Oryctolagus cuniculus: one gene and its partners. The protein of the gene in region 6 interacts with the protein of the main gene of each other region in a biochemical or structural test. Links are inferred from orthologs where the notes say so. Each region holds a gene or a part of one and is shown on either strand. Other genes may lie near its edges. The genes, in order: CENPA, KLHL13, CDCA8, KLHL9, RACGAP1 and AURKB.

Region 1 (3,817 bases), on a different chromosome or scaffold from region 6:
TCCATCCACCCCTCTGCAGCTCTCCGCACACGGCGCCAGAGGGTCTTATTTTTATTTTTTAAGATTTTATTTATTTATTTGAGGGGTAGAGCTACAGACAGAGAGAGGGAGAGACAGAGAAAGAGGTCTTCCTTCTGCTGATTCACTCCCCAAATGGCCGCAATGGCCGGAGCTGCGCCTATCTAAAGCCAGGAGCCCGGAGCTGCTTCCAGGTCTCCCACATGGGTGCAGGGGCCCAAGGACTTGGGCCATCTTCTACTGCTTTCCCAGGCCACAGAAGAGAGCTGGATTGGAAGAGGAGCAGCCGGGACTAGAACCGGCGCCCATATGGGATGCCAGCACTGCAGGCAGAGGATTAACCTACTGCACCTCAGTGCCAGCCCCTGAGAGGATCTTTAACCCGGAAGTAGATCAGCTTTTCCTCTCTCTTCCTGAACACTTTCCCTGGCTTCCGGTCACTTTAGGATTAAATCCCAGCTCCTTATGTTGGCGTTTCAAGACCCAGCTGCTGCATGTTCTGATTTGTGAAATTCATTTGAAAGACAGAGCTGTCATCCACTGGTTCACTCCCCAAATACCTGCAAGGGCGGGGGCTGGGCCAGGTCGAAGCCAGGAGCAGGAAACTTAATCCAGACCTCCCTCATGGGTGGCAGGGACCTACCCCTTGAGCCATCACCCACTGCCTTCCAGGGTGCCAGGCTCAGGTGCGGAGCTGGGACTTGAACCCCAGCACTGTGGTGTGGCAGTGCTCTCCACACACAGCTGACTGCATCTCTGATCCCGGCTCTTCCCCGTGAGCTTTCCCTGGTCGCTTCTCACGTATTCGCATCACGGATTTCCTGTCTCGCCCCTCTGAGGTCATCGCCTGTATTTAAGGGCTCTCCTTTCTCTGCTACCTCAGATTCCTCCGGAGTGGTTTTTCTGTTGAGTTGGGTTCCTTCCGCTCGCGGTGTCCTTTCTCAGATCGTGTGGTGACCTTTCGTCGTGTCCCTCTTCACCTTGTGTGACGCCGGGCCTTGTGTGTGAAGGCTGCTGATGGGCGGTGGAGACGAGGCGGGGTCAGCCTGTGCGTCCTCCCTGTTCCTGACCCCACCCGGGTCAGCTGCCTGGCTCAAGCCCCTCTGGTGGCCTCCCCTCCCCCACCTTCTCAATGCTCTGTGTGTGCTCCCCCACCCCGCTTTCCCCTGCTGACCCCGCGCACACCTCTGCAGGCGCGGCCTCGCAGCACAGACGGCGGCGGCACGCGTGGCTGAAGGAGATGCGCAAGCTACAGAAGAGCACGGACCTGCTGCTGAGGAAGCTGCCGTTCGCCCGCGTGGTGAGCTCAGGGCGCCCCGGCCCGGCGTGGCCCCTGTCCCTCACCTTCTCCCCCTGCGGGGGCCCTTGGTCTGGACCCACACCACCTTCGCTTCTCCACAGCTCCCCCACACCTTTGAAGCTGTCTTACTCTTTGTAACAGTTGTGTGTATGGGCACTGTGAGAGCTCGGGTCCACGCCTGTGTGTTAGGGTGGAGTCAGGGTTCCATCTCCTGGGGCAGGTCTCGCTTCTTTGTGTTGGGAACCTCGGGTCTTAGCGTCTGAAACTGTCTTTGAGTATGGAAAACGGAGCGCTGTCACCCATCCCTCGTGCTTTGGTCCCTTTTGCTGCCCTGGGGGAGTGCAGCAGGCCGACTCCTGTGCCCCAGAGGCAGCCCTGCTCCGCCCCAGGCACGTCCTGAGGTTGAGGGCCAGGAAGGACCAGTGGATTCCCTGGAGACTCTTGGAGAGAGCCCAGCTCTCCGAGCCTCTCGTCTGTTACTGCCTACTCCCCCATCCCCACTCCTCCACAGGCCAGAGAAATCAGCACCAGATTCACTCGGGGTGTGGACTTCAGCTGGCAAGCCCAGGCCCTGTTGGCCCTCCAGGAGGTGAGAGGGGGCCTGGGTGCAGCTGGGGGAAGGCCGGGTGGGAGGGACTAGCGTCCTGGATCCTGGTACTTGGCCGCAGACTCGCAGGCCGCAGCTGGCCGGGATCCCGAGCAGGGCAGCCGGGTCCCCCCGAGCAGTGGGGGGCTGCAGAATTCCCAGGCAGAGCCCAGTCTCCTGCACCGTCCTCCCTAACGTGCTTCGGGCGCTGGAGACGGAGGTCAGCGGGTCCCCAAGGAAAAGCAGCCGTGCCCCCACGTCTGCCATGTCCCCTCTGCCCCCTCCTGCCCCCAGGCGGCAGAAGCGTTCCTGGTTCACCTCTTTGAGGACGCCTATCTCCTCTCCTTGCACGCCGGCCGGGTCACCCTTTTCCCAAAGGATGTGCAGCTGGCCAGGAGGATCCGAGGCATCCAGGAGGGGCTTGGCTGAGCACCGGGCCGGAGTCTCCGCCAGCCTTCCTGTGCCCGGGCGCGGCACCCCGCTCTCAGCGCCGGGAGGGCTGTCCTTGGAGGAGCTGCCTTCTCTGTGCCCAGCCCCTTGTCATCTCAGCGTTCCTGGTGCTCACGAGACTGCCTGGGGGTGTGTGGGTCACACCTTCCCGTGCAGCGTTGAATAAAGATACTTTGCTACCACGTGACGAGCCAACGGCCACACCTGTAGCAGCGCTAAGCCTCTCCGTTTCACAAGGACCCGTGGCTTCGTTTTGATGAAGAGAGATTTTTTTGCTTCTGAAAATGCCTTGTTAGGAAAAGCGATTCCTGCGTGTCAGGGATGATGGCTGGGACGGCTTTGGTGCCCATGCGTAGTAGACCCGGGCATATCGGAGGGCCGCCTGGGCCGTGCTGTTGCAGAGCTGGGGTCCGGCTGGGGTCGGTTCTTTCCAGGAGAGGGTGGCCTGGCTGGCTGTGTAGTGGGCATCGGCACGGCTCCCGGCGCCTGGACGTCGTGTCGGCAGAGGTTCCAGGGCCTTCAGCTCGTGACCCGCACATCCGACCGATGAAGCTCCTGAAGACCTCAGCTGCGCACGGGCAGGAGGGGATCCTGGCTCGTTCCTGTGCCGTGCGTTTTTCACCCCGTGTGTGTTTAATCCGCTGCTGAGAACGTGAGAGGAAGCCCGAGAAGCGCCTGAATCAGCTGCGTGGGAAAGCCCAGCCTTCCCGGCCCGCAAGCCTGCGCCCCTCAGACGGGGCTGAACATTGGTGTTCTGGTTCCTTCCAGTCCTTCCCATCAAAATCGCTCGGAAGTTCTGACTTCCAGGATTCAGCATTTTCTTATTATTTGTAAACCACAGAAGTTGAATCTTATCAATCCATGATTTTAAAGTGCTTTTCCAGTGTTTTTATGGGTGTTTTTTAAGCTTACAGCTTCTTTGCAGAGAGATAATAAAAATAATTCTGTAATGAAAAAGTTAAAGCCAAGTTACTGTTTCCAGCAGGGCAACTATGCTGTTTTCTGTAATTTAAACTCTGCATTTCCGCACTGTGTACAGGCATCCATCGTTTCAACAAGGGGACTGAAGGGTGAGATTTGCCCCCAGTGAAGCAGAGGTGAACAAAGAAACCTTGGCCTTCTGCACGGCTGAGAGCATGGGAGGTTTCTGGAGAAATGGGGTCTGCTGTGGCGAAAATGCGGAGTGCGTGGGGCTGGCTGATGAGGACACCGTGTCAGACTGGAGGGAGGCACCAGGTCTCACTGTAATCACTTCTAGCCTTTTGGAAAAGCCTCTTCCTTTGGTGTGATGTCGTACCCGTGCTGGTGTGCCATACCCGTGTTGGCATGACATCATATGTGCTGGCATGACACTCATACTGGTGACGTCACACATGCTGGCATGACACACCTGTGCTGGTGTGATGTCACACCCATGCTGGCATGATGTCACACCCATGCTGGCATGGCATGCCCATGCTGGC
Region 2 (3,500 bases), on a different chromosome or scaffold from region 6:
ATTGGAGAATTCCAGTCATTTCTCCTGTGTGTCTAAGAAACTTCATATGTTCTCAATGCACCCACACAGTTAGGTGGGTTGACAGTTATGTCAAAAATACTTTATGAAAAGAGGGAGGTTGCTCATGCGAATTGGCAACCTTTGTGTATGGTTTCCTGTTGGAGCAGCCTGCCTCCCTTTGACATCTCACAGTCAAAGATGAAAGGAAAACTGTTTACTTTGAAGTCTAGTGAACACAGTTGTACATTTTCTATCATCCACCTTCAACTTGGCTTATTGGGCTTAATAATGTAAGATGACAAATACGTTACACCCAGTACACAGCATTTAAAAAGTACTGAAGAAACATTTTTATAGACAATACCTTTTTTTTTTCATATGTTAAACATCAGCTTCTATGGGAAACATTGCCAGAATGGTTTTGTTACCACTTTATAAACATTCTAAGCCAAACAAACAGCACAAAGAACATCAAAGTCATCTTTTTTCCAATAGCTGTATCAATTACTGGAGGCTAATCCTAACATATATACTACTAAAGGGGAGAAAAAGAAGAGAACTCGTGACACATTGCAAAGATAGGACTACAGCATCTTAGTTGTACGAATGATCTTAAGGTGCAGAAAGAGGAGACTCTCTAGAAGGTGATGGTGTGGTTTCCTCAGGTGGAAAAACTGTAAGTGTGCAAGCTCGAATGCCACCCAGGGACTCTGGGAGATCAAAAACCTTATGCCATTCATCTTTATCGGGATCATATTTCTGCACTATCTCTACCATACAACGGTTATTCCAAGAGTACCCACCAACCACATATATTTTATTTTCAAAGACAGCGACCCCAACATCACTCTGCCCTCTTAACATGGCAGCAATTGGGGTCCACTGATCAAGGATAGGTGAATAGTATTCACAGCTTAGGACATCATCGTAATCACTGGTTCCTCTGAAGTGATTGCCGCCAATGACATAGAGCCTTTCTCCCACTGTACACATACAATGCAGACCTCGCACAGTGGTCATTGGCGCCTTCTGGATCCATTTGTCAGTATCAGGGTCAAAGCACATGAGCTCCTTTTGGAAAGTATCATGAGTAATTCCTCCTAAAGAATGAAAAGAATAAGCATAAGGGATTATGTTAAAAAGGCAGAAGTAAGTAATGGCTCACCGTCATAATCAATTTTTAGCAACACATTAAGAAACATCAACAGTGTTCTTAAAATGTCTAAACTCTATAAATAATTTTCCTGGAAATTATATTTTCATCTTATTAAAGGATAAAAAATTGCTTGTACTATTGGGAGACCCCATGGTATTTAAGAGGCTTTACTGAACTGAAGATACAGTTTGGCCACTATTGGGTCTGTGATAAATCCCAACTACAAAGCAACACTCACTCCTTGCTATATTTTAGTGAGTACTCTCTGGGTACCAAGTAATGGGCCAGAGTACATTAAATTCCAATTGCCCATTTCCTCAACTTGCCAAATAAGAATATCTGCTTCTTGTTATGCCGTTAGTGTGATGTTCAGGTCAGATACTTATGGAAATGCTTTGAAAAGATCTCTTTAAACAAATAAGGTTATAAAATGCTCTGAACTGTTTATTCTTAGGGAGGTTTTGGTGGGTTGGGTGAGGAAGGGTAATATCATCTGTGTCAGAACAATTAAAAAGGTAAAAATTATAATGCTCAATATATGTGAAATTTCATACATGCAGAAATTTATTTTTGATCTGTTACATTCATATCATCTGCTAAGTGTATTCTTGGATCACATATAAATTGGCCTCTAAAATGAAAGCATCAGGGCTGACACTGTGGTACAGTGGGTTACATTTCCACTTGCAACACCAGCATCCCATAGAAGAGTGCTGGGTCAAGTCCTGGATGCTCTGCTTCTGATCCAGATTCCTAGTAATGCGCCTGGGAAATCAATAGAAGATAGCCCCTGCTACCCATGTGGGAGACCTGAATGGGGGTCCTGGCTTTAGCCTGGAGCAGCCCTGACTTGTGCAGCCATCTGGAGAATACACCAGTGGCTGGAAGCATGTGCATGCACTCTGTCACTCTACCTTTCAAAAATATATACATAATGTTTTTAATGTTAGTATCAGACTGTATCTTCTACAGACAAGGGAAAGAACTGAGATAATGTTTAACCAAATCATTTTAATCTATATTATAGAGTGTCTAGATAGCAATCACTATTTACTTCTGCTCTTTAAACACTTTTTATTCTGAATTTTTAATTCTGATTTATAGAATTCCCAGAAAGTGAAACAGTACTCATTGTTGGAAAATCAGCAGTTTTTCCTATTCTATTCATGGTCAGGAATATCATTTGCGCAATATATACCAATTATGCCAAAGCATCAATAAAACAATTCTGGTGTCATTTCCCCCCGCCCCCCAGAGGATTTGTAGCTCTCATTATAATGGTATAGTAGCTACACATATAAAATAGGGAAATGGTGTAAATCATTGACTAGTGGAGCCTGTGGTTTCTGGGATGGCTATTTCAATATTAAATATCCCATAGTTGCTCATGCATTGATACCAGAAACCTGCTAATCACATGCCACAGGCCTATCACTGATCCTTCTTGATTACATAAGGCAGCATTCAAAGAATCAGACCACAAACATCACCTTAACACCCTTGTTCTCCAATAATCTAACTGTTGGTCTGCCACTGGCAGGCCTCCAATTAGGGAACATAACTTTCACAAGTAGACTGTGTCAGGGCCAAATGATAAGAAACTGCCTTACAAATAAATATCAACACCAGAGGTGATCAAGTAAAGACTTCTTTCTGAATTCTATGGAAGGGTTATTTGAACACCAACAATTTGAGAATGAAAGTTGTTTCTAGGACAGTGGAAATAAACCTCAACCATCATAGAATTTTATAATAGAAACATATCTACATGTACCAAAAATACAGATAAATACCACGGAATTAGAATCCCATTATAATTCTAGCAAGAAAGGAAACACATACATGTTATGAGTTATGCTAAAAGAGAATAGACATCATGTGTTATCATTTGGGAGCATACTTTAGGCATTATGTTATATGATGATTTATTTCCTCACATGGGTTAGCTGCATTTTAAATAAAAAACATCATTGCAATAGAGAACACATGAATGGTATTTGTTATAATACAGAGTAATGGAATGGAAAGCAAATTAGAGAATCTGAACACTTTTTAGTTTCTTCTAAGTTATACAATTTATAGCAGGAATGGTTGGCTGCTGGTCTTGTGAACTTACAGAATGCTTATTCACAGGAAAATTAACACACAAAATGCCTTCTAAAATAAACATTAACATTTTGATGTAAAAAAGATCATAGAGCTAAAAGCTCACATTTTTTGTGTGTGTGTCCACATGGCAATTATTTACCTGAAATATACATCACTCCTCCATATACAGTTCCAGCATGGCCATAGTGGGGCTCACTCATTTTGGCAACATAGGTCCACTCGTTTGTTCTTGGAT
Region 3 (3,448 bases), on a different chromosome or scaffold from region 6:
GTGTGGGGACTTGTAGGCGGGACTGCTGCTTTGCAGGCAGTAACCTTTCCTCCAAATGCTGGCTGACCAGAAGGGCTCCAAACTGTATTCAGCAACCTGGCTGAGTCCCAGCTCCAGGATGTCTTTCAGGCAGAGCCCTCTGCCACTTGAGGTCCGTGCTGAGTGTTCTCAACATAGGTAGTTTCTGCCAGGGCCCCTGGGACTCTGGGAAGTGAGAAGCAGGATCGCTGACGCCTGCCCCTGCTTTGTTCCTGGCCGCCGAGACCTCGCTGTACAGGTTAACTGTGGTGTCCTGGTTTCTGTCCTGTGTGTACATTTCTAGCCCCCAGGATGGAGGTGCTGGGAGACCGGCTTAGGGGCTGAGGTTACTGGAACTTGGCGTGAGTCCCCGTTCAGATATAAGAGATGCTGCCTCAGCTCCTGAGGACAGCAGCTGTCCCCAGACTCTCACTCCAGTCCAGGTAGCACAGCTGCAAGATGGCAGGCAGGCTGATGAGTGATTAAAAAAACCAAACCAGAATTTATTGAAAGCAGGTACCTTTCAGAAGCTCTGATTAAAACCATCAAGATACCATCACTCAGGAAAACAGTGTGTACAGAAGTCTCAGGAAAAGGAGAACAAGCAACTTAAAAACGATTCGACTTGCACAGGGCTGCATCACTAGATTGATCATGTCCTAAAATAACAGAAACCATTCCCAGGGGAAACTGTGCTTCCAAGCCTGTGGGAGAACCCTGGCTCCCAAATCCTGGGAACCCAGCCCAGGACAGTTTGGGGCAGAATTCACCTGTGTCCAGGGCACAGACTAAACATGCGGAACAAGGCCACCACACAAGTCACACGTGCCCCCCACCCCCAGGAGCCCCCTACGAGAGAAGTGCTTTCTGCAGAGTCCATCCACCCTGCAGCGACCACTGGGCCTCAGAGAGCTTAGGGACAGTTACTCTGCGGCCAGTCACACATGTAGATTTAGCCTAGATGCTAAGTCTACAGTCCCTTTGTCCACGTTCCAACTAACTGGAGAGGTAGACGTGCAAGACATGGAAGCTGCCTCCAAGCCAATTTTTGGTCTTCGATAAACAGGATAAACACAAAAACTGTTCCACAAGTCATCCTGAAAAGAACGACTGGGCACAGGACGTGAGAGGTGCTGCGGGCCCACGCAGTGCCCCCACGGGAGGGGGAGGAAGAGGGGAGACCTCCGAGTCCTGCCGCAGTGGTCGCGCTACGCCCGGTCCGGCTCTGCCGCCTTCTCATTTGTGGGTCCGGATGCTGCTGCAGATTTGGGCGAGACGGCTCTAAAAGCAAAGCAGATGGGTCACTTCAAACACAAGCACTTGGCACTCGGGCTAAAAGCCACTCGGTCTGAGTGAGTCTCAGCCCCTCTTCTCTGTTTGTGCCACACATGAATGGGCCTTTCTGCAACTCAGCTTCTCGCCTGCACAAAGGAGGAGAGCAACAGCTCAGATGAGATCAGGAAGGCACACCTGGGAACAGCGATGCCCTGGGCCCGGCTACAGGATGACTGCTGCAAGAGCTGGGCAGCTGGGTATGCGTGGGACCTTGGCACCGGGCTGGGGTTTGGGAAGCCAGCTCTGCCCTTGTCCCCCTCCGTGGACGTACCCCTCGCAGACCCCACAGAAGGGTGGGCCTGTGGCAGTCATGCATGTTCTAAGCACTCCCATTTGCCTCCCAAGACCATAGCTGACTGGACCTGGGATGTTTATCTGAGTCAAGCTGAGTCAATTCAATCCTCTCTTGAGAACTTATGTCCAGACAGCAAGCCAAACAGTGCTGGACACTGGAGTGATAGAGTTAGAGCTGGAGGTGTGGTTCTCCAAAGAGTGACAGAGTTAGAGCTGGAGGTGTGGTTCCCCAAAGCCAGGTGCAAATCACTGTTGAGGGAGTAGAACCAAGTTCCCTGCGGAAAAAGTCACACGCACAGAGGCGGCAAAGGTGTGCTGGAGAAATGCCAAGGGCAGGCACCAAACTCAGCCTCACCTGGACAGAACTGCTGCAGTGTCAGCAGGGTCACAGTTGAAAAACCCCTTGAGGCAAAGAAGGCAGCAGGATTCTAAGTATTAGCCCCGACCCCAGGGAGAGCTGCCCCTAGAAAGCTACTGGAGACATACTACGTGTGGAGATGAACTTGAGACTTACAGAGAGCTTCTTAATGTTTCCCAAGGCCTCTGGGTCCAGCTGTGCAATGTCGACCCTCTGCAAGTCACTGGCCAATAACCGCACGCTCTGTAAGGGAGGAGAATGGGTTACACTGGCAGGTCCCTCAGGGCAGGGACCTCACCCAGCATCCCCGTGGTGTGCCCCGGCGTCTCTGTGACATCCTGCACTTGCTGGCAGGGAGTGGCTGAGATGGAGCAGTGGCCTTTCTAGACGAAGTGCACTCCTCAGCAGTGGCCTCCTCTGCACCCTTCAGCAGCCCCGTGAGCTGGGGCTGGCGCTGTGGCACAGTGGGTTAAGCTGCTGCCTGCGGCACTGACACCCCACACTGGAGCGCCACTTCAAGTCCTGGCTGCTCTGCTTCTGATCCAGCTCCCTGCTAATGCACCTGGGAAAGCAGCGAAGATGGCCCAAGTGCTTGGACCCCTACCACCCACGTGAGAGACCCAGCTGGAGTTCAAGACTCCTGCCTTTAGCCTTGCCCAGAATGGCTATTGCAGTCATTTGAGGAGTGAACCAACGCATGAAAGATCTATCTCTGTCTCTCTCTGTCACTCTGCCCATCAAATAAATGAGTCTTAAAAACAAAAACAAATCCCCGTTAGTGCAGCTACTACAGATACTATGCTTGCCAACCCATCTGACTCCTGAACTGCTTTGCAATGACAAGAGCCATGGCCCTCAGGCTTGCTACAGTCAGGTGGGCAAACAGAAGCCAGCGATGGTCAGGGATCCTCCCAGCCTGGGCCCCTGACTTGGGAAAGAAAACCAGGTTCTGAGTCCTGCAGGAGTGTGGAGCTCAGGACCCACATAACTAGCAGACCCCTGATGAGAGAAGTGAGTGAGGGCCCAGGGAAGGCAGGCGCTCCACGAAGCAGCACACCGCGGCCTGGCTTCCCAAGAAATACTGTACCGCGCCGCCGCCCACGGGCACAGTGAGGGAGATCTCTTTGCTGTCGGCCAGGGGGCTGCCATTCACAGAGATGTTGTAGATCTGCTCTCTGGCTGCTGGAGTGCGCAGGCCTGGGGTCTTGAAGACTCTGCAGAGTGGGAAAGTCTGTGAAGTCAGCCTGGCAGATTGAATGACACCAGGCACAGGGAGCCCTTCCAACCCCCATCTGGTCTCAAGCTGAAGTTTTCAAAATCACATGTTTCTAAGAAGGCGAGTTCTAAATTTAGGGAAAACATTTTTTTTTAAAGCAGTAATGACTAAACACAGCTGGAGAAAGGAGGGTGTAATTACCAAACATACATCTAACAAAAGTCAAC
Region 4 (4,123 bases), on a different chromosome or scaffold from region 6:
TATCCTAAGCCTTACTGAAAAGGTAGAAAATAGCAGAGCCTAAATTTATTGGGAAAAAGCAAATTCTATGAATTCTGAACTTTGCTAAATAACATGTATAAGAGCAACTCTAAAGAAAATATACAAGCAGAAAAATGTAAGTTTCATCTGAAGTAACAATTTATAGTCAAATGACAAATACAGTTGTCAATTTAGAATGTTGTAGCCCTTATCTAAATTCAGTATGACTATACAGATATTTATTCTCTGATACTGAATTCCCACTTAAATAGCTGATTAATGGAAACAATTCAAATTTAAGAACAATGTCACTATGGTTAAAACAGTCCAATTAATTTTAAAATTATATATGTGTGTACCTATTTGTCTTATTATGCATATATTTTCTTTCACCCTTCCACTGTCTCCAGGGAGAGAAACCAAATGCTGACTTAGGGCTAAACTGGTTTCTCTGGTTAATATTTTTGTTATTTCTCCTATCTGCCTAAGACCTAAGAAACTTCACATACTCCATATGCAACCACAAAACCAAATGAGTTGACATGTGTGAAAAACTCTGAAAAGAGGGAGGTAGCTAATAATTGGTGACTTTTCATTTATTATTTTAGGTTACAGCAGACCTCCCCTTGATGTTTTTCAAAGATGAAAATTTTGAAGGATAATGCACACAATTACATTTACTACAGTCACCTACAATTTGACTTAATAACACCACAAAGAGACATCTAATTTAAACATTGTTCTGCATATCTCCTTTCATTTGTTAAAACAGCTATGTTGAATACACTTTCAGAATGCATTTGTTAGCCACCTGATAAACAAAGCCAAACAAGACAAATAATGTTACCTTTTTATCTCACAACTACCAACCATTGTGAAGAAGATACAACTGAAGGGGAAATAGGAGATCATCCATGAAGAACTGCCAAGATATAACACCTTAGATCTAAGAATGATCTGAAGGTGCTGAGAGTGGCGACTCTCTAGAAGGTGATCCAGGGTTTTCTTCAGGGGGAAAAACCGTGAGGGTACAAGCTCGGATGCCACCGAGTGACTCTGGAAGGTCAAAAACTTTATGCCACTCATCTTTTTCTGGATCATATTTCTGGACAATTTCTACCATACAACGATTATTCCAAGAATATCCACCAACAACGTAGATTTTATTTTCAAAGACAGCAACTCCAACATCACTTTGACCTCTTAACATGGCAGCAATTGGTGTCCACTGGTCAAGCGTTGGTGAATAGTATTCACAGCTTAGAACATCATCATAATCACTTGTTCCTCTGAAGTGATTGCCACCGATGACATAGAGCTTATCTCCAACTGTACACATGCAATGCAATCCTCTGACTGTAGTCATTGGGGCCTTCTGTGTCCATTTGTCTGTATCCGGGTCAAAACACATGAGCTCATTTTGGAAAGTGTCATGGGTAATTCCTCCTGAAATATACATTAAGCCTCCATACACTGTTCCAGCATGGCCATAATGGGGTTCACTCATTTTTGCAACATAGCTCCACTCATTCATTCGTGGGTTGTAACATTCTACTGTGGCCAGTTCACCAGCTGCACTGCGCCCTCCAACTGCATACAAATGTCCTTTGAGAGCACTCAAGTGGAAGAAAGTGCGCTTTTCATTTAATGATGCAACTTGCATCCATTTATTATATCGAGGATCAAATCTAAAAACTGTATCGACAGCAGTTTTTCCTTTTGTATCATAATTACTTTGACCACCAACCACATAAAGGAAGTTTCCAATGACAGCAATGCCATGCTGGTAACGAGGAGCATCCATGGGGGCTAAAGATCTCCACTCTTGTGCTCTTTCATCATACATCCTTAATTCTTTACTGACAACCAGCTGTTGCCTCAACACTCCCCCTAAGGTAACCAAGTGCGTAGAGTCAGACCGAATGGCAGTTCTGTCAGACTGCATCACTGGCTGCATATATGGCATCATTTGGTAGTTGCTAGCTTCCAAAAGCAAGTTCACACAGGTATTGTCTGTTCTCATGAAATCCACGGTCTGCACATAATTGATGAGGTCCTGTGGTGTCATCAGTGGAAATCGAATATTCTTCATTAATTTTGCAGCATAATCCATCCGAGGATCTTCCAACCTTAGCCATCGACAGGCAGCCTTGAATAGTTCAAGTTCAGTACAGTGCTTTAGACTATTACTGGAAAGCACAAAGGCAAGCCGTTCAAAAGGGAGTTTTAGAAACTCTCCAGTACTCAGTAAAGCAGGGAAGTTCTTCAAGATGAAATTATTAACATATTTATCCACTTCTATTAGATTGTAGGTGTTAGCAATTCGTCCAACCTCAACGCAGTTATCCAAAGAGACTCCTGATATAAGAAATACTTTACAGAAATCCAAAACGGGTAAGATTTGTAAGAAGCTAGCAGCTTCAAGAGTGTCCTGAAGATTGTCCATGTTAAGAGAAAGTTTTGCAGTATAAATAAAATCAATGATTTTCTTCAGACCAACCTTGTTCACCCCATGAAGCTTAATGCACATTAAATCTTGCTCTTTCATTCCACCTGTGAACATAGCCTTGAAATAATCACTAGCAGAAGCCATCATCGCTCTGTGAACAGGGAAGATTTCATCTCCATCGCCCGGTACCAGGGTCACATCACAAAGCAAACCTTCTATTCTAAGCTGATCAAAGCCTTGCAGTACCACCGAACTGTGAGTATTGCTGGTAAAAAACCGTGTGGTTCCCGTCTTGCAAGGTTGCAGATGGGCAGAGACGCCCATTTCGCCGTTACCGAGAGACACTTTCATGTGAAAGCCTCCCTCTTGTACAGATGTATGCCGAAGAAAGCAATTATAACCCGAATGTTTTTCAGGAAACAGAGATGTCCACAGAGCTCACTTCCCCTAGCAAGGACGAGCAGTCACCGTGGCGCCCCTCAGGACACACCAGTCAGTCGTCCACTGGAAACTCTCCAGCGGCAGGGCCACAAACGGCGGTGGACCTCAAATCTAATTATTAGGCTGGCGATTCATCACCTTAAGGCAGTTAAATGACCCGGTTCACCTCGTCTGGCCTGCGCTGCCGCTCCTTCAGCAGTTCCGCTCGCAGCCGAGGGGGAGGTGCCGCCACGTACTGAGGCTCCGCCGCTCACTCTGCGGCGCGACCGGGCTCCTCCGCGGGCGGCCGCCTGCGCCTTCCGCTGTCACTCGACCGTCGCCGCGGCCACCGGCCAGTTTTGCAGCAAGGGCCTGGAACACCGCCTGGCCTTGGGCCTGGGCCGGGAACACAGAATTAGCCACTGACGCCGAGCCGATCCTTCCGGAAAGGCCTAGTCCCAGGATCCCCCGGGCTAGGAGCGTCCGTGGGAACTACTGCGCCTGCGCAGCCGTCTGCCCTGATTGGTGGGCGGGCTTGCCGACGTGTCCGGGAGGGGGAGGAAGAGCGGGATGGGCGGGGCGTGCGGGGGTTGGAGAAGCCGAGCGGTCGCAGGTGGGTGGTAGCGGGGCGCGGGGGAGTCTCCGTGTGCGTGAGGCTGGGTAGGCCGGAAGGAGTACCCGTAAGTTACACGCGCATTTGGTGTAGATGAGTCTGGATTCTTCTTTAAGGTGTAGGCTCGCTGGCCGCTTCTAACAATGAAATAAGAACGATTTTTGTATAAATTGAGAGGCCGCCTGGCAAAGTAACCGTAGGGGGAGGATGCTTAAATGATCTTTCTCTATAAAACACTTCATAAATTTTACCCGGTATAATTTAACAGACACTTCAATGATTTGGGTTCATATTTGAAATTTTTATCGTTGGAAACATAGTATTTGTCGCTAGTAAAATGTGACCATACGAATAGTAAAAACCTAGTATATTCATCATTTCTGGCTTAACAATGCAATGCCATCATAATTTTTTTTCAAGCTTTTGATTACCACTCACATTTTAAATGCACAATTTTCCACTAGTTACATAACATAGTTTCTTTGACCATTATTTTTACCTGGATATATACATTCTTAGCCTCTCTTGTCCTATAGAAACTAAAATCAACTTAATAGAAACTCACCCTGTTTTGGGTTATGTTTGGTAGAATATTGATTTAAGTCCATATTTCAGAAATACTGTCACGACAGTGTATTTCT
Region 5 (3,500 bases), on a different chromosome or scaffold from region 6:
AAAAGGCATTGGAGTTTTCAATGACATGCAGGGGGTCGACGTTCTCCTGCTCCACCATCATGAACTGACTCCAATACTCCACGGGCAGTGAAAGCAGGCGCTCTACTACCTAAAAGCCAACACATACGTCAGCCAACTTCCAAAACAGAGCTTACTTCTCACCATTCTCTTATGCTACAAACAAGTTCTGGAGTGAGCAGGAGCCCACAGGTGGGCACCCATGCACACACACTTACCTTGGGCTGACGCTTGATGTCTTGTAACATTGTTACCGGGTCTGGATTGGGCACAGCATGGGCAACTATTGTAGGTCCAAAGACTTTAGCCAGATTGGCAACATCCATTTTAGTGTTTGGACTCTGAGCCACTCTAAGCAAAAGAGTTTAAATTAGAAGACTTTCTCCTCTACTTAAATGCAGACCAAAATATAAATTGTACAAGAAAACAATTCGCCTTTCACACTCCCTAAGACCCAACTCGCATTATCTTCCCCTTGAAAAATTCCCCAACTCCCAGAGCAAGTCTCTGCTGCACTCACCTCTGCAAGTGAATCATGAGGAAAGCTAATGTGTCCCTGTTGGCCTGGGGCAGTTCACCGACAGCCTGGTACATGGCGGCTATGCTGTTGTCTTCATCTGTGATTTCTATAAATGAAAAGAAAGCACCGAGAGGCCTAAACTTCTTTCCCTTGACAGCGGGCTTCCGAGTTATCGACCACAAAGTCCCTTCTATACAGTAAGCTTCTGGAACTTCTGATTAGGTTCATGACTACATCAGACTCTACTTTCATTAGCAAGCAGGATACTGGCCAACAGCTCAATATTACGAGTCAGAACTTTTTAAAAATAGGCCCTTGCTGTTAGGAAAAACAGCTGGCAACCCATGTGTTTGGGAGGTAGATACAGCTGCAGTAACTAACTACAGTTATCAAGGTGTTCCTTCATAAAACATATCTAAGGGTCTACTGTGCACCCAGCACTCTTCTAAGGACCAATGATACAGCAGAAGGAAACACAGCCCCTGCCTTGTAGACTGTTTATTCTATTGGAGGATTTGGTTGACAAAGAAACACAGGGACAGGTGTTTGGCTACCAGCTAAGATGCCATGTGGGATGCCTGCATTCCATATTAAAGTGTTTGAGTCCTGGATCTGCTCAGATTTCAGCTTGCTGATAGTGGACATCCTGGGAGTCCACAGGTGATGGCTTAAATATATGTGTCCTGCCATCCACAAGCTGAGACCCGGATTGTGTACCCAGCTCCCAGCTTTTATCCCAGCTTCCAGATGTAGGCTTTTGGGGAGTGAACCAGTGCCTGGGAGCTCACTCACTCTCTCTCTGCCTTTCAAATACACATTCAAAGAACAAATAGGTATCAAGTAGTAATACGTACAATAAAGAAAACAGAGCAGACTAAAGCTGTAATGCAATGGGAACTGTTACTTTAGACAAGGTGGTCAGGGAAGAGAAGCCTGAAAGAAATGAAGGAGATATCACGAAGACGTCTAGGGTAGCAGTAATGCAGGCTGGGCAACAACAAATGTGACGGCCTCGAGGTGGGCAGTAAGGAACTCAAGATTCCACTGCGGGGGAAGGAAAGAAGAAAAGGGGGTGGGAACAAAATGATAACCAGAAGCCAAATCACATTCGATCTTTTTTAAGACTTAGTTATTTTTATTTAGGATTTATTTGAAAGGGACAGAGAGAGAGAATGAGAGAGAGAGATACAGACAGAGTTCCTCCATCCACTGGTTCACTCCTCAAATGGCCACAATGGACAGGGCTGATCAAGGCTGAAGCCAGGAGCCTGGGGCTCCATCCAGGTCTCCCACATGGGTGGCAGGGGCCCAAGGACTTGGGCCATCCTCCTCTGCTTTCCCAGGCACATTAGCAGGGAGCTGCCTGTGAAGCAGAGCAGCTGGGACTGCACCACAATGCCAGCCCCTCATGTAGGGTCCTTGAGTGAAGCAGCAGACAGATCTCCCTCTGTTATCTCTTCCCCTCTTTGTCTTTCAAAAAAATAAGTAAATCCTGAAATAAAAAGACTTGGGGTATGGGGGGCTGCTCTGTGGTATGATGGGCTAAGCTTCCACCTGAGACACCAAGCATCCCATATGGGCACCAGTTCGAGTTCTGGCTTCTCCTCTGGCTCATTGCTATGGCCTGCAAAAGCAGTGAAAGACCTGGAAGACTCCTGGATCCTGGCTTCGGATTGGCCCAGCTCTGGCCACTGTGGCCATTTGGGGAGTGAACCAGCAGATGAAGACCTTTCTCTCTGTCTCTCCCTCTCTCTGTCTGTAACTCTACCTCTCAAATTAAAGAAGAAAAAAAAAAAAAACCACTTGGGAAGTTTCCAACTATGGGGGGGGGGCATGGACTTTATTCTGATAATGATGGGAAGTCTCTGGAGGATTTAATTGTAAAAAGGGCCATTCTAGCTCCTTATGAAGATCATCCTGGAGAGGGAATGGCAGAAGTAGAACAATCAGTTAGCTGCTCAATTACATGAGCCTCCCAGGGTGTCGCGTTAGCAGGAAGCTGCAATCTGAGCAGGGCAAGGCCTCCAACTGAGGCACTTGATTAGGGGCGGGGGCATCTTCACCACTGGGCAAGTGCCCACCCCTGCAGATGAGACTTGACAAGGGATTGGGTGTGGAATGAGAAGAAAAGGAATCAAAGATGGATTTAACATCAAAAGGACAAACCTGAAACTTGACCCAAAAAACCAGAGCGAGAGAAAACCTATTACTATCCTATATGGTGTAGAAAGACAGCAATCAGGCATGGGGGACATACACATGCAGCTATTCATCCACCAAACCTGTGGGTGCCTACCCTTTGCAGGCACTGTATTGGGTAGTGGATAAAGCAGTAAAGAAAAAAAAAATGGAAATTTATTCTGCCTTGCTGGAATTCACATTCAAATATTAAGATCTGCCCATACCTGCGGCTTCCATGAAAGCTTTGTTTAGCCGAAAAGTCAGAAGAGGTTCTTTGAGGTTTCGAAGGAAGTCTTTCAGAAGGCTGCAGACAGCATGAATGTCATCCACTTTGCTGAGCAGGGGGACAGTCTTCACCCGGAGAAATTTCTCCTTCAGCTCCTTCACGGTCCTGTCACAGCCCGAGACCCGATACAGTCCTGTCTAGTATAAAGACGACACTTTTACTTAAGAACCACGTAATTGCTTGACACAAATAGCAATTTCATTCCGTCGTCAGGACGATTCTTACCTCAGTCAGCCCTCTCTGCTCGATCTCATTTACACAGTGGACAATGATGGAAGGGATCATCGGAGAGGTCTGGGACACAAAATCAGCCAGCATTCCCTGTGAAAGGAGCTTCAAGTTACCACTGAAAAACCACGTGTGAAGAACTACCTCCACTAACCCTCAGGATGGGACAACATGTCTACTTTTAAATTCCTACTGCCAGGGCAGGCACTGTAGCATAGTGGGTAAAGCTGCCACCTATGGTGCAGCATCCCACATGGGCACCAGTTC
Region 6 (4,186 bases):
GGGACAGGCAGTCAGACAAGGACAGCCCCGCGGCCACAGGCAGCGTGCCCCCAGCCTCAAGCCCCCAGCCGGGGTCCCAGGTGCCCACCCGCCCCGACCGTGGCTGTTCGCTGCTCGTCAAAAGTGCGGCTTTTCTGCAGCTCCTTGTACAGCTCGCCGCGCGGGGCGTACTCCAGGATCAGGTAGATTCTCCTCCGGTCGTAGAAATAGTTGTAGAGACGCAGAATGTTGGGATGCCTGCAGCAGGAGACAGGAGGCCTCAGGCCACATCCGGGCATAAAGGGAAGATGATAGGGCCCAGGCTGGGGAACTGGACCCAGCTCTCAGGGGCCACAGTCTGGACTCCCGGGGCGGGGGCGTACTGCAGGTGCGCCTGGATCTCGATCTCCCTGCGCAGCTGGTGCTCCACACCCTCTTTCTCGATCTGAGACTTGAAGAGGACCTTGAGTGCCACGATGAAATGGCTCTTCTTCTCCCGGGCCAAGTACACGTTTCCAAATTTGCCTTTGCCCAGAGGACGGCCGATCTCGAAGTCGTCGATGGTGAAGGGCCGCCTGCTCAGCAAGTGGGGGACACAGCTCAGCGCCGGCCTGCCGGGCAGCCCAGGAGTCTGCTTTCTCCCCACTCCCTCAGCCCCCCCACCTCCACCGCGGCTCCCCCACTTCTGCCGGTCCCAGGCCGTCCCTTCCCGCTGGCCACCTCCAGGCTGGGAGCACTCACGTGAAGTTGGGTGCCCCACTGCTGTTCTCCATCCCCTTCTGCCCAAGGACAGCTAAGGAGAGAGCGGGAGAGGTGAGACCCTGCTGGGACATCCTCCCTACCCGTCCCGTAGACTCCAGCTCCCCAGTCCCTGCTTTCCCTCCTGGGCCACTTGCCTGTGGGCGGGGCGTTGGAGCGGTTCATGAGGACAAGGGCAGAGGGGGTGGCAGCCTCCTTCCGCAGGATTCTCTGAGGCAGAGTGTTCAGGCCAGACTGAGGCTAAGGAGGAGAAGGCGGAGCGCCAGGGCGCCTTTGTCCCAGGGACCCGGCTGGAATGTGCCGCGAGCAGCTTTTCTGCTCCTGCCTAAACAGCTTCCCACGTGCTGTCCACCCCCAGTGCTGAGAAAAACCCTGATACGACAGTTTTGGCCTCCAGCCCCAAGACTCTGTTCAGAGTCTCATGTTAAAATGGGTTATTAATCCTCTGCCTGCGGCGCCGGCACACCAGGTTCTAGTCCCGGTCAGGGCGCCGGATTCTGTCCCGGTTGCGCCTCTTCCAGGCCAGCTCTCTGCTGTGGCCAGGGAGTGCAGTGGAGGATGGCCCAAGTGCTTGGGCCCTGCACCCCACGGGAGACCAGGAGAAGCACCTGGCTCCTGGCTTCGGATCAGCGCGGTGCACCGGCCACAGCGTGCCGGCCGTGGCGGCCATTGGAGGGTGAACCAAAGGCAAAAGGAAGACCTTTCTCTCTGTCTCTCTCTCTCTCTCTTACTGTCCACTCTGCCTAGAGGTGGGGCAGGGGGCGGCACTGGTGCAGCGGGTAAAGCCACCTGCAGTGCCAGCATCCCATATGGGCCCTCCACTTCCCATCCAGCTCCCTACTCATACATCTGGGAAAGCAGTGGAGGATGGCCCAAGTGCTTGGGCCCCTGCACCGGTGTGGGAGACCCAGAGGAAGCTCCTGGCTCCGGCCTGGCCCAGCTCTGCCTGTCACGAGCATTTGAGGAGTGAACCAGCGGATGGAAGAACTCTCTCTCTCTGTATCTTTCAAATAAATAAATAAATCCTTAAAAAATAATAATAATAACCCAAGTGGGCCAAAAACAGGGGACTCCTCCCCAACACCTAACATTTCACCTCCTTGGCCCTGGCCTGTGCCACCGTCTCAGGCATGACTGTCTAGTCTGTGTAGTCCTGTCCATGACACCGCACCGGCTCCCCCAACCCTCACACCAGGGGCCAGGTGAGGGCCTGGTCAACCAACCCCACAGCGTCAGCACACTGGCAAGCTCAGCCGATTAGAGCTTAGATGAGGCCAGGGAGGCAGCCAATGCCACTTCAGGACAGACTTCTTCCTTTTGGCAGTGACAATGGCGGCTCATTCAGACCCGCTCTTAATGGCCTCGCTCAGTGCTCCGCGAGGGAGGCAGCCGGCGCACAGGGGAGACATGGACCCTCCACCACCAGACCAGAACCAAAGCCTCACCAATAGACGGCACAAGTTCAGCCGGAAGGAGGCGGCTCCGGGGGCCCTGAAAACCTGCTTCCCAACAGTGATCGACGCATGGCCAAGTGGAACAAAACACGCTTAGGGCATAAGGGGGCAGGCGGTGCCGAGGGGGTGGTCCAGCGCGTCCCGCGGGGCGGGGTGGCCTTACCGTGGGTCGGCTGTAGGGCCAGGGGTAGGCGTTCTCCTTCTGGGCCATCCTCACGGGGTAGCGGGGAGGGCGCCTGGGCGGAGAAGGGAAAGAGTCCTGAGAAGCAGAAAGGGGAATTAAAAAAAAAAAAAAAAAAAAAAAAACCAGCGGTGGGATCGGATGGATCCAGCCAGAAGCGCCGTCCGGGCTGGCGAGAGGGCTGGCCACACCCCGGACGCTCGTCCCGCAGCCCCGGCGCCGGGACCCGCCCAGCCCCCTTCCAGGACCCTCTCTCTCCACCCCTGAGCGCTCAGGAGCCCCGCGATCCGCCTGAGCCCCTGGCCGCACCGGGCCGAGGCCCGCGAACGGAGGCCGGCTCACCTGAGGCCGCCGGGAACTACCGAACCTGCCGGGCAGCGCCTCCGCCGAGGCGCTTTCAAATCTCCCGCTCTGGCCCCATTGGCTGCCGGCGCCACCCTCGCCCAATTCTCATTGGATCTCTCACCTATGACGTAGCCAAGGGGACCCAATGGGAACCGCGGAAGGCGAGCCGCCGCCGACTCCGTTCCGGTTTGGGAAAAGTTCCCCCGGTGACCCGGGGAGAGGAGTTTTTGCTTTCTCTTCGTTTTTAAAAGTGTGAATTTTTAATATAAACGGAGACTGTGTGAGCCAGGATCGAAGTTCGTTTCCTTCCGGGCCGCCGATGCCGGCACCGTGGGTGAAGCGAGCTGCCCCGGTTCCCAGCGGGATTTAAACGCGGGCCTTGGGTCCCCGTGCGGGGGGACCGGGTCTTCAAACCCGAACAAAGGTGCATCGAGTAGCTGCAGGCGCTAGCCAGGAAGAAACGGCGACTGTGGCCTGGGCCGAGTGTCCTCTCCTGCCTGCCACGGGCTGAGTGACGGGTGGAAGTGGTGAGCCTGGTGAGCAAGGCAGGCGTTCGGTGCCTCGCGTCTACACTGGCGGCAGCCAGAGGCCCGCTGTCCCCGTGCGGGGCAGGCTTGGCAGTAGGTAGGGTAGTCCAGGAGGAGCAGCAAGCCGGGTTCCTGCATGGGGCCGCGGCTCCCACCAGGATGCTGTGGGACTTCAGGCCTGAGTTAAGGTGTTAACCGACACTCACGAATGCAAAATGGCGGTGGCTGAGACCCTCCAGGGGCAAAGGCTCGGGGCGACCAGCGAAGGAGGTGTTTGCTGAAATTAGAGGGTAATATGGAAGGGGTAGCGGGAAGGTGGTTATAGATACCAGCTACGACCTTGTGACCAGCTGCGGAAATAATGAGTGTGATTCTCATGTGCACTTCTTCCTATTTTGTTATGGGTGTGTGTGTGTGAGAGAGAGAGACATGTAGGCGAGAAGACGGATTGCCTCTTTGCGTCTTCTTATAGAATAACTAACGCAAGTCAGGGGCTCGAGTTTGGATGGGCAGCGAGGGCAGCGGGCGTGTCGGGGGCTAGCCTCACACCCTCTCCTGTCCGCCTCCGTCTCGCTCTATAGGACGCCCTAGACATTGGGACCACTCTGGCAGGAGGAGGGCCAGGGGCGACGGAGCGGAGGGGAGCGGAGGGCAAGGCCCAGGTTCCAGCCTGGACAGCGGGTGCCGTGTGGACGGCGGGGAGGTAGGACACATTCCTTGCCAGCCACCCAAGCCTGCCTCACCAGCAAAGGCACTATCAGTCAAGGAAAGAGATGGCAAGAAAAGGAGGGCCAGGCTCGCTGGGCGCTGGGCGGCCGGGCTGCATTTCTTTGTTTTTCTGTTGTTTACTTTCAGCGTAGTAGAAGCAAGGAGATACATACGCCTCCAGGCTAGCGCCCTCTGAGAAATCTGGAGACAGCTAACAGTAGTATTTAATGCCT

What was found.
Region 1: of the proteins of AURKB (region 6) and CENPA, one has a biochemical effect on the other in vitro, tested with the Homo sapiens proteins (3 studies listed by BioGRID). The link is inferred for Oryctolagus cuniculus from reciprocal best matches to the Homo sapiens genes AURKB and CENPA.
Region 2: of the proteins of AURKB (region 6) and KLHL13, one has a biochemical effect on the other in vitro, tested with the Homo sapiens proteins (2 studies listed by BioGRID and IntAct, with this or other methods). The link is inferred for Oryctolagus cuniculus from reciprocal best matches to the Homo sapiens genes AURKB and KLHL13.
Region 3: the proteins of AURKB (region 6) and CDCA8 form a complex in vitro, tested with the Homo sapiens proteins (3 studies listed by BioGRID, with this or other methods). The link is inferred for Oryctolagus cuniculus from reciprocal best matches to the Homo sapiens genes AURKB and CDCA8.
Region 4: the proteins of AURKB (region 6) and KLHL9 form a complex in vitro, tested with the Homo sapiens proteins (2 studies listed by BioGRID and IntAct, with this or other methods). The link is inferred for Oryctolagus cuniculus from reciprocal best matches to the Homo sapiens genes AURKB and KLHL9.
Region 5: of the proteins of AURKB (region 6) and RACGAP1, one has a biochemical effect on the other in vitro, tested with the Homo sapiens proteins (2 studies listed by BioGRID and IntAct). The link is inferred for Oryctolagus cuniculus from reciprocal best matches to the Homo sapiens genes AURKB and RACGAP1.

The regions. Positions count from the first base shown.
Region 1 is NC_091433.1:176,093,482-176,097,298, reverse strand, and holds the end of CENPA (histone H3-like centromeric protein A), read left to right. Parts: intron 1-1,211; coding exon 1,212-1,318; exon of another isoform or gene 1,319-1,829; coding exon 1,830-1,907; intron 1,908-2,198; coding exon 2,199-2,333; 3' UTR 2,334-3,317; downstream 3,318-3,817. UniProt on the Homo sapiens protein: Histone H3-like nucleosomal protein that is specifically found in centromeric nucleosomes. Replaces conventional H3 in the nucleosome core of centromeric chromatin that serves as an assembly site for the inner kinetochore.
Region 2 is NC_091453.1:75,280,473-75,283,972, reverse strand, and holds part of KLHL13 (kelch-like protein 13), read right to left. Parts: coding exon 3,405-3,500; intron 1,101-3,404; coding exon 613-1,100; 3' UTR 1-612. UniProt on the Homo sapiens protein: Substrate-specific adapter of a BCR (BTB-CUL3-RBX1) E3 ubiquitin-protein ligase complex required for mitotic progression and cytokinesis.
Region 3 is NC_091438.1:135,068,874-135,072,321, forward strand, and holds the end of CDCA8 (borealin), read right to left. Parts: intron 3,220-3,448; coding exon 3,093-3,219; intron 2,249-3,092; coding exon 2,162-2,248; intron 1,300-2,161; coding exon 1,255-1,299; 3' UTR 501-1,254; downstream 1-500.
Region 4 is NC_091432.1:184,421,224-184,425,346, reverse strand, and holds the start of KLHL9 (kelch-like protein 9), read right to left. Parts: upstream 2,801-4,123; coding exon 947-2,800; 3' UTR 1-946.
Region 5 is NC_091442.1:53,334,963-53,338,462, forward strand, and holds part of RACGAP1 (rac GTPase-activating protein 1), read right to left. Parts: intron 3,327-3,500; coding exon 3,231-3,326; intron 3,143-3,230; coding exon 2,944-3,142; intron 645-2,943; coding exon 539-644; intron 370-538; coding exon 237-369; intron 110-236; coding exon 1-109.
Region 6 is NC_091448.1:52,688,683-52,692,868, forward strand, and holds the start of AURKB (aurora kinase B), read right to left. Parts: upstream 2,801-4,186; 5' UTR 2,716-2,800; intron 2,452-2,715; exon of another isoform or gene 2,429-2,451; 5' UTR 2,404-2,428; coding exon 2,356-2,403; intron 979-2,355; coding exon 876-978; intron 773-875; coding exon 721-772; intron 555-720; coding exon 363-554; intron 238-362; coding exon 99-237; intron 1-98. UniProt on the Homo sapiens protein: Serine/threonine-protein kinase component of the chromosomal passenger complex (CPC), a complex that acts as a key regulator of mitosis.